Linked DNA regions of Drosophila melanogaster. The protein of the gene in region 1 purifies or fractionates together with the protein of each later gene. This does not show direct contact. Each region holds a gene or a part of one and is shown in the gene's direction. Other genes may lie near its edges.

The links.
Region 2: the proteins of Arpc4 (region 1) and cpa purify together in Drosophila melanogaster (affinity purification with mass spectrometry, with the first as the bait; one large-scale study listed by BioGRID). This does not show direct contact.
Region 3: the proteins of Arpc4 (region 1) and Arpc2 purify together in Drosophila melanogaster (affinity purification with mass spectrometry, with the first as the bait; one large-scale study listed by BioGRID). This does not show direct contact.

Annotation. Positions count from the first base shown.
Region 1 is NT_033779.5:6,123,226-6,126,436, forward strand, and holds Arpc4 (Actin-related protein 2/3 complex, subunit 4), read left to right. Parts: upstream 1-1,906; 5' UTR 1,907-2,023; coding exon 2,024-2,530; intron 2,531-2,598; 3' UTR 2,599-2,686; downstream 2,687-3,211. Other genes in the region: WDR79 (WD repeat domain 79), read right to left, coding at 2,707-3,211.
Region 2 is NT_033778.4:21,056,194-21,060,426, forward strand, and holds cpa (capping protein alpha), read left to right. Parts: upstream 1-1,593; 5' UTR 1,594-1,828; coding exon 1,829-2,069; intron 2,070-2,190; coding exon 2,191-2,360; intron 2,361-2,418; coding exon 2,419-2,868; 3' UTR 2,869-3,690; downstream 3,691-4,233. Other genes in the region: shg (shotgun), read right to left, coding at 1-280; CG15653 (uncharacterized protein), read right to left, coding at 3,706-3,929, 3,987-4,233. UniProt on the Drosophila melanogaster protein: F-actin-capping proteins bind in a Ca(2+)-independent manner to the fast growing ends of actin filaments (barbed end) thereby blocking the exchange of subunits at these ends.
Region 3 is NT_033779.5:20,415,476-20,423,099, forward strand, and holds Arpc2 (Actin-related protein 2/3 complex, subunit 2), read left to right. Parts: upstream 1-1,581; 5' UTR 1,582-2,118; coding exon 2,119-2,192; intron 2,193-2,872; exon of another isoform or gene 2,873-3,006; intron 3,007-3,047; exon of another isoform or gene 3,048-3,179; intron 3,180-3,194; exon of another isoform or gene 3,195-3,329; intron 3,330-3,358; exon of another isoform or gene 3,359-3,492; intron 3,493-3,521; exon of another isoform or gene 3,522-3,658; intron 3,659-3,669; exon of another isoform or gene 3,670-3,806; intron 3,807-3,827; exon of another isoform or gene 3,828-3,955; intron 3,956-3,980; exon of another isoform or gene 3,981-4,110; intron 4,111-4,150; exon of another isoform or gene 4,151-4,281; intron 4,282-4,298; exon of another isoform or gene 4,299-4,433; intron 4,434-4,456; exon of another isoform or gene 4,457-4,590; intron 4,591-4,843; coding exon 4,844-4,937; intron 4,938-5,014; coding exon 5,015-5,114; intron 5,115-5,172; coding exon 5,173-5,359; intron 5,360-5,421; coding exon 5,422-5,642; intron 5,643-5,675; exon of another isoform or gene 5,676-5,799; intron 5,800-5,828; exon of another isoform or gene 5,829-5,963; intron 5,964-5,999; exon of another isoform or gene 6,000-6,125; intron 6,126-6,141; and 13 more. Other genes in the region: CG10949 (uncharacterized protein), read right to left, coding at 1-631, 689-1,229. UniProt on the Drosophila melanogaster protein: Functions as actin-binding component of the Arp2/3 complex which is involved in regulation of actin polymerization and together with an activating nucleation-promoting factor (NPF) mediates the formation of branched actin networks.

The DNA of each region.
Region 1 (3,211 bases):
AAAGCAAACGAAGCGAAGGGCAAGGGCAAAGTCTCAAGATACCGCTGAGCGAGTTTTCTCACGAGCTCTATAATGAAACACGAATAAGCTACTATAAAGCGAAAAGAAATGAATGCTTACGGCAAGTTAATGCAAAAAAAAAATTAGTAAAGGAAATCTACATTTAAACTTAAAAGCCCAGGCAGAAAAGCCTATGCAAGTTGAATGCATGCCTGTCATTTAAAATTTCAAATTCTTTTAAAAGTTCACGTTGATTTCAGTTGAAAGTTTAAAACACTTTTTACCTTGAGTTCCAAGAATGTTATATTCGTTTTGGATTCATTATTTTCAAAGTCTTAGTCTTGAATGTTCAAGTTTTTTTTTTTTTTTAATTACTGTGGCATCGACTGAGGTATTCTCAAAATAATAAGCACGCTGTATTTGCATCTATGAATGGCTTTCGCGAGTAAAAATTTGAAAATGTTTTTAATTAAGTTAATGTATACTTTAGTGGTAATTTTAATTTACTAACTTGCAACAACATGATACATATACATGCTGAATATAGTTTTACACTAACAAATAATTTGTTCTTATAAGTTTCGCATTTTCTATCTATAAAATAAATGTCTAACAGAAAAAATACATAAGAAATGCTTATACAATTCAATAAAATCAAATACCATGTAAAACACACGAAACGCATTTTTCCTTTATTTACATACAACACAAACACTAAAAACGCTGATATAGACATTAATATAAATGGAAGGAAACTACGTATAAGCATACATTAATGTGTGTAATATTATATGGAAATGCATATTTTGTCTAACGTCGGGTTATTTTTAGAAATGGGTTTAAGAGGAGAGTGAATGTGGGGGTTATAATAAAAAAAAAAAAAAGTATTTAGGGCAAACCAAATGGAATATTTAGGAAAATTTTTTCCAAAAACCTGCGAGTTATTTTTAATTTTGCACCAAAGGGCGCTTTAAAGATTAGCTTAAATTTAAATCTTATATCGTTATATATGTATGTGTACTCGTGTAAACCTATGGCTTCTACAAATGAATATCAATAACATAAATCTCTTAATAAAAATGTGCATTGGCAAAACAATTTAACACGCACAGGACACCAAATTACCCAGACACGAAAACTTTCAAGCATACTCAAGAAAAAACGAACAAAATATAAACGCAAAGCATAAAATGCTTTGATATTTACTCAATTTATGATATATTAATGTCTAATCCAATGCAATAATCAGCCGAAACATTTTTTGAGTATTGAGAGTAGGAAAGGGTTACAATTTTGAACGATTGATTAAAATACTCACTTTCTAGGTTCACGCATAATTTAAGTTCATATAAGCCACAAATAACTGACCATATGCGAGCAAAAATACTTATAACAATTGTATAATAAAAGTGCATTAAACAAATAAATGCAATATTTATAATTGGTGGATGCTGTTTTCTTCTAAATTAACATTTTTCCTCTTTGCTGGTGTGTTGGGTTTTCGGACTTTAATATGGTACACATATATTTGATATTTCCATTTCAAATTTTAACGCTTCTAGCCATATACATTTTTCTTAAATTTTTAAAATTTAGGTATGATTTAAATTGTTTCACTCCTAAAAATTCCACAAAGATAAGATACAAATGGAAATGGAACAGTGGTTGTGGTCTCGGGTAAGTTCTTGATAGTCAAGTTTCTTACCATCTTAACACAGGACATCATAAGAAATGTTTTAAGTGCGATTTGATAAATGTTTAAAAACAACATGTTTAATATTGATTGTATAAACTTTATGCATAGTCTTCCCAAACATATAATAGAAACTGTTTCATAACAAATTCCAAATAGTTGCTATGTTTTTGCGGCCCCACCTCGGCATTGGTATTTTCCTGCCAGCCGCGCATGGTCACATCTTTTCTGGTTGATAAATTCCAGGGCCTGTGAATCATAATAAGTTAAGTAAAAAGTGCAGATACAACAAACCGCAGGCAGCAGACAACAACCCGACACCCAGACACAATGGCAGCCACATTGAAGCCCTACCTGACCGCCGTGCGACACTCGCTGACGGCGGCGATGTGCCTGCAGGACTTCCCCTCGCAGGTGGTGGAGCGGCACAACAAGCCGGAGGTGGAGATCTGTTCCAGCAAGGAGCTGGTGCTCACGCCCGTCGTCGTGTCGCGCAACGAGCGGGAGAAGGTGCTGATCGAGCCGTCCATTAACTCGGTGCGCGTGAGCATCGCCGTGAAGCAGGCCGACGAGATTGAGCGCATACTGTGCCACAAGTTCACCAGGTTCATGATGCGACGCGCCGAGTCGTTCGTCATACTGCGCCGCAAGCCCATCGAGGGCTACGACATAAGCTTCCTCATCACCAACTTCCACACGGAGCAGATGTATAAGCACAAACTGGTGGACTTTGTCATTAGCTTCATGGAGGAGATCGACAAGGAGATCAGCGAAATGAAACTGGCGGTCAATGCCAGGGCACGCACCTGCGCCGAGGAGTTCCTCAAACGGTTCTAGGTAAGTGTTCCACCTAACAGCCATCGCCATTGAGTCGACGCCAACTTACTCTCGCAAATCCTTTGCAGGTGAAGGCAACCAGTATGGACCCGGTCATGATGCTTTAGTATTTCCAAATGGATTCAAGAATAAAGACGGATTTTGTATTATTTACTCGACTACACCAGTTTTATATGCTATCCCGTTTGGCCGCACCACCACATGACCACTGCGTTCTCGTAGAGAACTTCCTTCTGATTTTGATTCACATCGGCCGGCGCCGGCAACTCCGTCGTTTCCGTTCCGTTTAAGGTCACGTTGTCCCCTTGGGCACTTTGGTCTGTAAAGTGGAACTGCCCCGAGCTGGTGGCTAGAATCGGCATAGCCGGATTGAGTGCCACTCCGTTGCAGCAGTCTGAATGCAGGGGCAGTACGGAAGGATCTCCGTATTTTTTGAGATCCCAAACATTGACGAATCCCCGTGTGTCACCGCTAGCCAGCCAATTGCTGTCGGATGCGAGGTCGAATTGAATACGCTGATTGGTGTCCACATGGCGCTGCAACTCCACCAGTGGCTGCTTGTAGTTGCGCATGTCCCACTGCAAGATCTTATCGCACTTGCGAGCTCCACTGAACAGATGCCACTCCCCGTTGCCAAACTCTCCATAGCGCAGTTGTGTGATGCCGCCCTTGTGCCCTCCC
Region 2 (4,233 bases), on another chromosome or scaffold:
CGTATCCGGCGCAGTTTTTGAAGGCGGGCTTACGATTGTCGCCGGAAAAGTTTTTGTCCGGCGGCGAGTGAAGTGCGAGGGCGGGTGACAGAAGGCTGATGGCCACGATAACGCCCAGGAGGAGTCTCGCGGGGATTAGTCGCCTGCCAAGGTCGCGGCATTTTCGCTTGTGCTGCTGGTGCGTCTGTTGCTGGGCGGGATTTAGGTGGCCGGCCTGCGGGGTCGCCGACATATTGATGCAGTGGTAGCTTCTGGACATTCGCTGGACACTGGTGGACATACTCTCTAGCGGCGATCCGCCATCGCAGACTCTCTTTTTTTCAACCGCAACACTTTTGAGCACTTCTTCGTGAATCACCCAGTATTATTTCACTCACACACCTTTTACTTTTGTTTGTGTTGCCCACTTCTACTTCCACTTCTTTTTTATTCTATTCTATTTGCACTCTTCTTCTTGTTTCGTTTCTCTCAGTGTACCGTTTGTTTGGACTGCATTTTCATGGCAACCGCTCAATAATTATCAATCGAATCGAACTCGTACAGTGCGCGCCCTGATTGTTAACTGACTTATTCCGATTTCGGTGCAGCTGCTCTGGCTGATATTTTCGTTCACTTTTATCTTTCACTCGTCCGCTTGGGCACTCTCTTTCTCCGTTTCTGTTGCCTCCTCTCTTTCGCACCGCAAACAGGTAAGACCAGGTAAAAAAGTGGTTACACGCACACCGCCAAGCGCGCGCATTTGTGTGCGTGTGGTTCGGTTCGCTGCGTTGGTATGTGTGTTACCAACGACTTTTGGTAAAAAGGCACTTTTCGATGGTATTTCGTTGTGAACTTGTACTTTCTGGCGAATTATTTTAAATAAAAAGATCGCAAAACGTATTTTCTTTCACTTCGATCGCTTTTATTGTCGACTTACAACGAAGCTGCGGAGCCACACCGATTTTGAAACTGCGATCGACGCGCGAGACAACCGCTCAATTCAAAAGCAAAAACACAATGCAACAAAAACAACGGGCGGCGTTAGAGATGTGAGACACCGTCGATTCCTCGGTCATCGATAATTAACGGTTAATAATCTCGATGTTTTCGTTTTATCGATACTATATACTGTCTACACTTCTCGATAAATACGTTGATGTGAATCAATTACACTGGATTTAATATAACAAATATTTCTTTAAAAATGGAAGCTGGAAGATAAAAATGGCCCAGCTTGGGCTTTCAAATAGAATTATTAACAACTATTTTTCACAAACAAACAGGTTAATTTTAAACGAGTTGATCAATACTTTAATACTTATATAACTGAAAAATATTTAATAACCAAAACTAGCTACCATGTACAACAATAACATAATTTGCTTTAAAAAAGTTCTGATTGAGTTTGGTTTTGAACAGGCAATGATATTTATTGGTCTCGAGGAACTATTTCTATAATGTATTACATTCTACATCGTTAAAAGTTTTTTTATTGCAATTCAAGTAACGCGCCAAGACTTTTGCCATTCACCCGTCGGATTATGGAGCAGTGTAGACTGCCCGTAAAATACGGTGAATCGCATCCGGTACAGGTACACAAATATTTCCCATCCCTAGCAAAGAGTGGAAAAAAAAGTGAATCGAATCGTCATCGTCTTGGCCCATTAATTGCGGAGAAAAAAGATTGCAGCGCCGAAAAAACGGTCAAGGAAGAGTTCCAGCGACACCGCAACTTCCAACCACTCCACAAGAAGATCCCGTCGAAAGGTAGAACCCTAGGAACCGGAGGGGAAACCAGACCAAACCAAACAACCGCCCAGCCCCGATTTCGTGAATCACCAGTGGAACTATGGAGCAGACACCGATCACCGATGCGGAGAAGGTGCGCATCGTATCGGACTTCATCCTACATGCGCCGCCCGGCGAGTTCAACGAAGTGTTCAACGATGTGCGGGAGCTCCTCAAGAATGACACTCTGCTAAAGGATGGGGCTAGCCACGCCTTCGCCCAATACAACAAGGACCAGCTGACTCCGGTTCGCATCGAGGGCACCGATCATAACGCCATCATATCGGAACACAACGATCTGGGTGAGTTCAGTTCCATCAATGCCCTTAAATGGACAAAGCCTGCCATATGAGTCACCTACACACATTGTTTGGCTTTCGGTCGATATCTTGAGCCCCACACTGATAAGCAATTGCATTCCAGGAAACGGTCGCTTCTACGACCCGCGCACAAAGCAAGCCTTCAAATACGACCACCTCCGAAAAGAGGCTTCCGACTACCAGGACGTAGAGGCAGATGCCACTGCGGAGCCCTGGAGGGCGGCCCTCGACCTGGAGACGCTCGCCTACACTGCCAGTCATTATAGACACGGGGTAAGTTGAATGAAAAACGCTCTATTGCTTACAATAACCCGTAACATTTTCTCTACAGGTCAGCTCTGTTTTTGGAAAGGCGCAGGGCAACCAGATCACCCTGACCATTTGCATCGAAGACCACCAGTTCCAGCCGAAGAACTATTGGAATGGCCGATGGCGCTCCCAGTGGCATGTGACCTTCCAGGCGGGCAGCGGAACCGCCGAACTGAAGGGTGTGCTCAAGGTGCAGGTGCATTACTACGAGGACGGCAACGTCCAGCTGGTGTCCTCAAAGGAGTGCCGCGAAAGCGTGGTGGTCAGCAACGAGCAGCAGGTGGCCAAGGAGGTGATCCGTCTGATCGAGGACGCCGAGAATGAGTACCAGCTGGCCATTTCGGAGAACTATCAGACGATGTCGGACACGACATTCAAGGCAATGCGTCGCCAGTTGCCCATCACCAGGACCAAGATCGACTGGAGCAAAATCGTCTCGTACAGCATTGGCAAGGAACTGAAGACGCAATAAGACCAGGAGGTGCAAGCGGAAGAGGAGCGGACACAGTCGACAAAGCGGCCCAATAGTCTTCCACTTGCCATGGCCAAGCGAGCATAGGAACCGATCACCAGCATTAACACCACAGCATCCGAAACGAAGTAGCAGGAATACGAGAAACGAGGGCGGCCAGGTGCAGGTGCCTGCCGAAAAAGCAAATGTCTGTAATTGGCTATATACATACGAACATATACCTACTTATATATATATATACGGCCTGTATTTATACTGTGTTATACAACGACGAAAGTGCGTAAACATAACTACACATATATCGAGTACGATCGGAGACGATTTGATTGCAAGGATTTGGATGACTTTAGCCTGACGGTGAACGATGCACTGCCGCCTCGTCTACGTCACGATCGCCACCAATTGTCGCCTTTATCGTTTAAGAAGAGCATTAAACGCGGATTTTATCATGTCCTCTGACCTATGTATTATTCTAATTTTAAACGAATCAAGCTCGAGATCTGCGCTCTCGATGAGCCAGTCAATTCTTCGTGTCTTTGAAGACCAACCAGCCGACTCTCGACTATTTTAAGTGGTATCATTAGGAGCACTCATTCAAGTTTTTCGCTTTCCCGATTGTTCACAAACCAACCACCTAGTATGAGCATGAATAATAACTATGCTAAACCACTGATCATTTTTGCCAGCTCTCCATTGACAAACAATAACTAAAGACTTTGATTTTATAAAAACAATAAATTTGTAATTAAAATAACATAACTATAAAACATTTAAGATTGCTTGAATTAGTCAAATTTAAAGAGAATAAACTAATTGAATCGGACATTCGGATTGTCTTCACTTTGAATGTGTTTCTGGTTGTTGATCCGATGCGGATAGAATGACATTGGAATCAACTTGCTGGGCAGTTTGTTTGGTTATACTCTCGGGCAGATCGAAGGTTAGTTCCTCGGATTTTTTAAGCAAAAATCGTTTCTCTGGGTTGAGTTTTGTTTCCAGCTCCAGTCGATCGATCAGCCAGCCTCTATCCGGCTGATTGGACGCCCAAAAGTATAAAGTTCCTGCAAATATAAGGTTGGTAAACGCCAAAGATTTGCTTTCAAAATCGATGGATCTACCTTTATCCTTGCTGCCCCGCACAGCCACCTCACAACGCGCCTCCTCCGCATTGCAATTGTTGTTGGCGTTGGACAGATCGATGCCAGAGTCCTTGATGGGTTCACCCAGGAGACCAACTGCTCCTCGATGGCTCCGCAGTGCCTTCAAGGCCAGTTTGTAGTACTCTGCGGATTTCACCCGATCCTCCATCTTCCATTTCATGTACATCACAGCGGATATGGAGGCCACCGCACCGTAGACACAAAT
Region 3 (7,624 bases), about 14 Mb from region 1:
TGAATCTGGGCCTGCAGCTCCCGGGATTGCTGAAGCACGGTCTCCATGTTGGCAATCACGGTGGTCAACAGTTTGTCGGAGATGGCGGCAGACGGTACAGAGTCCCCAGGGAGAGAGGAGGACTCCTCTACGACGGGATTTACCCTGGCGATTGTGTGAATTATTTCCTCACTGGTGGCCGGCGTGGTGGTGGTCACCTGGAGCTGCTGTGGTGGCTCCAAGTCCTGCCGTGCCGTCGCTTCGCTGAGGATAAAATCGTACGGCGTTGCTTGCTCCGCCTCCGATAGTATCTCAATCTCTTCATCGTAGGCCAACTCAAGATCATCCTCCAGATCGTCGTTGTCCGTACTGTAGGGGTAATCAGCGCCCCAGATTTGCTCACCACTGGAGATCACCATTCCCTCCGGCTGTTTGCTGGTCTTTCCCGAAGGATTTCCTGCTTTGGGTGGTCGTCCACGTCGCTTGATGTTCTCCAAAACCAGGGGCACTCCTTTGCGGAAGTGGCGGCCCAGAAAGAGAAGGTCGTTAAAGTACCTCCACGTGATGGGCGTGGACTGGTTGATCTGATGACTGCGGAACTCCCGCCCGAAACGATCACGCAGCTTCTTCCAGCGGTTGTAGCAAAGTTCCTCTATTGAAAATTATCGGCATTAAGGGCTGAAGATCAAGAGGGTTACCCCGAGCTCACCCGACACATTTAGGTTTTCAGAAATCTCTCGCCAGGCTTCGTTTTTCGCTGCTAGGTTCTTGGAGACTCTGATCTTGTGACGATCATACAGCACGGGATGAGACTTGACCAGCTCAATGAGCTGCTCGTTCAGCAGGTCATCCTGGGAGTCCTCCTCCTCCTCGTCCTTTCTCCGCCTCTCCTGCTCCATGTCCACTTTTGTGCGCTTTTTCCGCTCCCTGGGCTCAAAACGCATCCCGTCGAGACTCTCGTTCCTTGCCAGTCCCTGTTTGTAGTGATCCTTGAGAAAGAGCAGTCGCGGAAACATGTCCCAGTAGGTGGGCTCATCCGGACGCTCCTGGAAACGGCGAAACTCCTTGCCGAAACGATCGCGAATGCTCTTCCAGCGCGTAATGCACGCCCGTTCCGAGGCTCCTAACTTCTGGGAGATGGCCTTCCAGGCCGCGTCCTTTTGCGCCGCATTCTTCACGCTCCTCGCGCAGTCCTTGTCGTACAGGATCGGGTGTCTCTCTATCAATTTAATCAGCTCATCGTCGTCCATTGATTTTCGCTATTATTTGTTTTTATTTATTCTGAACGATCCGGCAGCCTGGCGGGAAATATTGATAGTCGATAGGCGATGGGTCATCGCACAAAAAGGGCTGCCAGATTATTCTGTTAAAAAAATGTGCCTCTTAGTTTTATAGCACCGTTATTATAACAATGTTAAATAAAATATTTGTGTGTTTGTCTTAAAATGTCTTAATACATATTTATAATTTAAAGTTCGTGTGTACGAATTTCGTTTAAAATATATTCTATTTTATATATTTTAAAGAAAATTCTCTTTATGTTTGTTAAAATCTGCTGGTTTGAATTTCTGTGTAACCTGATAACATTGATGGTCGATAGCTCGATACTTCAATCTTTCCATCGGTGAGTTTGCCCCATCTCTATTGTGCTACCTGGCAACGCTGTGAGCAAGGAAAATACGGCAGCGTGCTCCCCGTTTTCCATCCACGTTTTGTTATAATTTTATAAGTATTACGGTCTGAGACCGATTTTGCACTGCATCGTGCGCGCTGCAAGTACTGGCGATTGGAAATTGGAGGCGCGAAAAGAGGATAAGGTGGATTTTCTTGCAACTGTGTGTGTGAGCATTGGAATTCGCCCGTGTGTGTGGCGAGAGTGCGTCCATGTGTGTGTGACGGACCAAAAAAGCCGACATCAGCGCCCATTTTTTGTTGTTGATTCATTAATACGCCCGTCATGCACCAGTATTGGTGAGTTGGAGCAGCGCACCGTCTTACTCGCACTCAACGGAGCGCAGAAAGAGCGCAGGGAGCGGCAGAAGAAGAAGCAGCGAGCAGCAGCACCATTAGCGGCAGTCAACGTCATATAATTTGTCATCGAAATTGGCACACTAAAAATAACAGTTAACTTCAACCGCCATGATCCTGCTGGAAATCAATAATCGGATTATCGAGGAGACGCTGCTGGTCAAATACCGTAATGCCCAGGCTGGGTAAGTCAATGCCTTCCAGTCCCGTTTCCCCAATTTCCATTCCACCATTTTGATTTCTATGCTGCATTCCCCACCGTTCTGTTATCACCAGTCGGCTTTGTTATCAATTTCGTTAGCTCTCTCTTTCCTCGGGAATAAATTTGGGTGTAGTTCCAGCCTTGGAACACTCATCGCTGCAGCTCTCTCCCTCCCACACACGTACCCAAGTACAGTGCAGCCCCCTTACGTCGACAGCGTATTAGTTAATTCATTACAACTCGCTATTCGCATCATCGGTGCTGAAAATCTGCAAAACTGACTCATCCATTGACGTGCATTCAAACGCATACGCTTGTGATGATCGAAAATATTAGTATTTATTTGTTCCTAATCCCGAAAAAGGATATTATTATTGAAGAAACATTATCAAAGGAGTCGTGTTACGAAAGAAATATGTTTAAGCTAAACGGTTTAGAAGAAGCTTAGACGAAGCTTACAGACTAACAAAATTATTAAAATTAGTAAAATAACTTATTGTACTAACAGCACTATCAGCAGAAAGAGGTATTTGTGTTTGGTAGCGAATGATTAAGATCTCACATAAATAAATGTATTTAAATGCTAATAGTTATGATGCCATTAGTTTATTCCCGATAAGATTGCAGTGTAATGCCTGAAATTAAGGCAATAAAAGTTATAAATTGTGGAACAAAAGTGGCATACTTGGAAAAAATCTCCTGTTGTGTCTCAAATGTTCCAAAATAAACCAAAAGGACGAACGGCATCCTGAATAATCAATCATATTATAGCAGATGACTTGTGTTCGTGTACATAAAAACTAATAGTTTCAATATTACTCCCCTATTATCTGTATTCTTGGGAGACAAAGTTTACATGCTAAAGATTCTCCATTTTCCGTGTCTACAACGCTCCGATATAAATTGTAACGCTTAAATCATCTTGAGTAATTCTTTTTGTTTCTTAAGATAAATACTTTCGTGTACATTATTGCAAATTTTAGGCTTTGGAGCCAAAGTGGCATTCTTCAAAAACAATATTTGATCTGTGTCTCAAAAGCTCCAACATTAACTAGAAAGACGAACGGCATCCTGAATAATCAATCATATTATAACAGATGACTTGTGTTCGTGTACATTTGCCATAAAATGTTCAACTTTTGTAATATTCTGGAGTCAAAGTGGCACGTCTTACGATCTTCCTGTAACTTGTGTCTCAAATGCTCCAATATCAAACGAAAGGACGAACGGCATCCTGAATAATCAATCATATTATAGCAGATGACTTGTGTTCGACTACAATAGTATTCGATTTATTAGACCAATAATGCCTCGGGAGACAAAGTTTACATGTTGAAGATGATGTGGCTTCTTTTTCGTGTCTACAATGCTCCAAAATAAATTGTTCGTTTAAATCGTCTTATTCGATTTATTTTATTGCCTAAGATGGTTGCCAACTGCACAACAACTAATTAAATATTTGGGTGGAGTTAAAGTGGCATATTTTATAGCTTTCCTTTGATCTGTGTCTCTATCGCTCCAATATCAATTTTATAAGCGAACGGCATCCTGTTTAATTACTTATATTAAGACAGACGACTTGTGTTCGTGCACAACTTCAAAATGCTTCAATAGTCATATGGAGAAAAAGTTTACATGCTAAAGTATTTTTCTTTTCCGTGTCTACAATGCTCCAATATTAATTGAACGTCTAAATCATCTTGGATATAATTATATTTCCATAGATAAATACATTCGTTCACAATACATTCGTTGTTCATATGAAAATGGATTGGAGTCAAAGTGGCACACTTAATCCATTTTTATTTGTGTCTCAAATGCTCCAATATCAAATGCAAAGGCGAACGGCATCCTGAATAATTATGCATATTATAACAGATGACTTGTGTTCGCCTACAATAGCTCCTGATAGCTTTACATTCCTTTATAAGACTCCCGTCTTCGGAGACAAAGTTTACATGCTAAGGATAAGATCTTTTTCGTGTCTACAATGCTCCAAGAGCAAATGTTCGTTTAAATCATCCTTGGCATTCAATATTTTTGCTGTGGATGCATTTAATTCGTGCACATATTTATAGATATGTATGTCGTGGAGGTAAAGTGGCATTCTCGGGATATATAAACCTGCCTGTGTCTCAAACACTCCCAAATCAACTTGGTTGGCGAACGGCATCCTGAGTAATTAATAATATTACATCAGATGACTTGAGTTCGCGCACAATCGCTTTAAGATCGCAAAGTACGATTTAGGAGCCAAAGTGGCATGCCTTGGAACTTTTATCCAATTTGTGTCTCTAATGCTCCGATACTAATTATACAAACGAACGGCATCCTGTTTGATCCTACATATCACAATAGATGACTTGAGTTCGTGTACATTATTCAGAAATATTTGTTTAGTTCTTGTAATTGAATTAAACTAAATTTAGATATCGGCTTAGCGATCCAGATACAAATACATACGGATGTTTTAATTTATTCGAAAACGCAAAATATAATTTTATTGCTGCTGGTTTCTTTTGGAAAAATAATCGGGTATAAACGAGTTTATGTGATAAGATACGGTGGAGTGTGGGGAGCATGACTAATAAGCAAGAAAATAAATGAGAATTTACTTTTTAATTCTCTTTCCAGACTGAAGCCTGAATCGATAGACATACGAATAGCAGACTTCGACGGCGTCCTTTATCACATTTCCAATGTGAATGGCGATAAAACAAAAGTTCGGGTAAGTGTACCGCGTACTATTCATTTAGGATAAATCCAACATTAACGATTTCTCACTTTTCTTGGGCTGCGAAACAGATCAGCATATCGCTGAAGTTCTACAAACAGCTGCAAGAACATGGAGCCGACGAGTTGCTGAAGCGTGAATATGGCAGTCTGCTTACAGACACGGAAGAAGGTACGTTCGTGTTTAAGTTCGGCATTTAAAGAAGTTAATTACTCTCGTCTAATTGCAGGCTACAATGTTTCCGTACTTATCAACCTGGAGGAGATTCCCGAGGACTGCGAGCAAATCGCAAAGAGAATCGGACTGCTGAAGCGCAACTGTTTCGCATCGGTTTTTGAAAAGTATTTTGACTATCAGGAGCAGGGCGAAGAGGGCCAAAAGCGTGCCGTCATTAACTACCGCAACGATGAGACTTTGTAAGTCAGAAAAATATGTTTTTGACTCGTCCAAGCGCTGACAATCTACAATCGATTTGCAGATATGTGGAAGCCAAGCCTGATCGTGTCACCGTCGTCTTTAGTACCATTTTCCGGGACGAAGACGATGTCATTATCGGCAAAGTATTTATGCAGGAATTGAGGGAAGGTCGGCGTGCCTCGCACACCGCACCACAAGTGCTCTTTTCGCACCGAGAACCACCATTGGAATTGGCCAACACGGACGCTAGGGTGGGCGACAACATTGGCTATGTCACATTCGGTATGTTAAAGGTTGAATGGTAAACCATGTGCTGTGGAGCCAAAGTTTACACGTTAAAGTGCATTTGTCTTTTCCATGTCTACAAGGCTCCATATAAATAGTATCGTTAAAATCATCTTGAACATTCTAGTTTATAAATATATCCAATGATAAATACTTCCGCGCACAATAATGCATTAAAGTCACCTGTGGAGTCAAAGTGGCATGTTTTAAATTACAATTTGAATTGTGTCTCAAATGCTCCAATATCAACAAGATATGCGAACGGCATCCTGAATAATCAATCATATTATAGCAGATGACTTGTGTTTGTGTACAGTAACACACCAACCCAGAATCCCCAAGCTGAATTGTTCAGTGGAGACAAAGTTTACATTTTAACAGTATTATCGTTTTTATGTCTACAATGCTCCGAAATCAATATCCGATCCAATTATCCAAAGCAGTCTTATATTTCCTTGGATGATTTCTTTCGTTACAAAAATGTCAGTATATTCCATATGGAGTTAAAGTGGCATATTTTTAATACTTACCCTAAATCTGTGTCTCTAAAGCTCCAATATTAAATAAATAGACAATCGGCATCCTGAATAATCAATCATATTATAGCAGATGACTTGTGTTTGTGTACAGTAAAAGAATATCTTAGACTGCCTTTTTTAAATGGAGACAAAGTTTACATGTTAACAATATTATCGTTTTCGTGTCTACAATGCTCCAAAATCAATATATTCGATCGAATCATCCGAAGCAGTCTTATATTTCCTTGGATGATTTCTTTGGTGCACAGTGCACAGCTAATGTAATCCCAATGGAGTTAAAGTGGCATATTTTGTATACCTTCCTTCAATTTGTGTCTCTAATGCTCCAATATTAAATAAGTAGACGAACGGCATCCTGAATAATCAATCATATTATCGCAGATGACTTGTGTTTGTGTACAGTACTTCTTAGAATTGAACCGATGTTACACTTTGAAATATCCAAAAGAAACAAAATAGTAACGACTCATACTTGTTTTTTGCAGTACTCTTCCCTCGGCATACCAACAAAGAAACAAGGGACAATACCATTAACTTAATTCACATGTTCCGAGATTACTTGCACTACCACATTAAGGTAAGTGTTGTATGCAGCTATGCAAAAATATCTTTTATATATTTGAAATATGCATTTTTGAGCAGTGTTCAAAGGCTTACATTCATTCGCGCATGCGAGCAAAAACCTCGGATTTCCTCAAGGTGCTAAATCGTGCAAGGCCAGAGCCCAAAAACACGGAGAAGAAAACTATAACGTGAGCATTGGACTTTCCATAACGAATTCTGATTACTAACTCGTGTTCTTTTTGCAGGGGGAGAACTTTCAAGCGCATCGATTGATGTGTTCAGTATATTTAGTTGTTTTTATATAAATACAAAAAATAAATTGTGTATTAAAATTCGATATCCGAATGGTGAATCCAACATAAACTAAACCAGATTGCAAGACAAACCCAAGTATTCCAAACAGAACCGTAAGGCTAAATGTAAGCTCAGCAAAATAATGATCAAAGAATTAATAGTTACGCGTTAGTAAATGAATTGTGTGTGTTTGTGTCGAGTCATCGTCAAATCCGTGTCTCCGCCAATTTGTTACAGTCATAGGCCGAGTCAGCGCCACAGCTGAGCCGCATTTTAAACAAATAAACGTAGACTTAAGTGCAACATGAGAACTAAAACTACCATGTCAAAGCGAGCAACACGACTAAGGGATGCCACCAACTTGTTATATAGTCGCAATGGAGGATTCATCCCCGCAATTAGCCTGTATGTGTAGAAAGCGCATTTAAAAACGTACTGCAAATATTAACAAACCTTTGATACAGCAATCGGAATTAATAAAAACGAGAAAATCAAACTGCAATGTAAAATAAAAAAAGGGACACTCTTTTAATCTCTAGCTAGCTGCAGACGCTCGAATACACTTTATTTTCTAGCTTATTA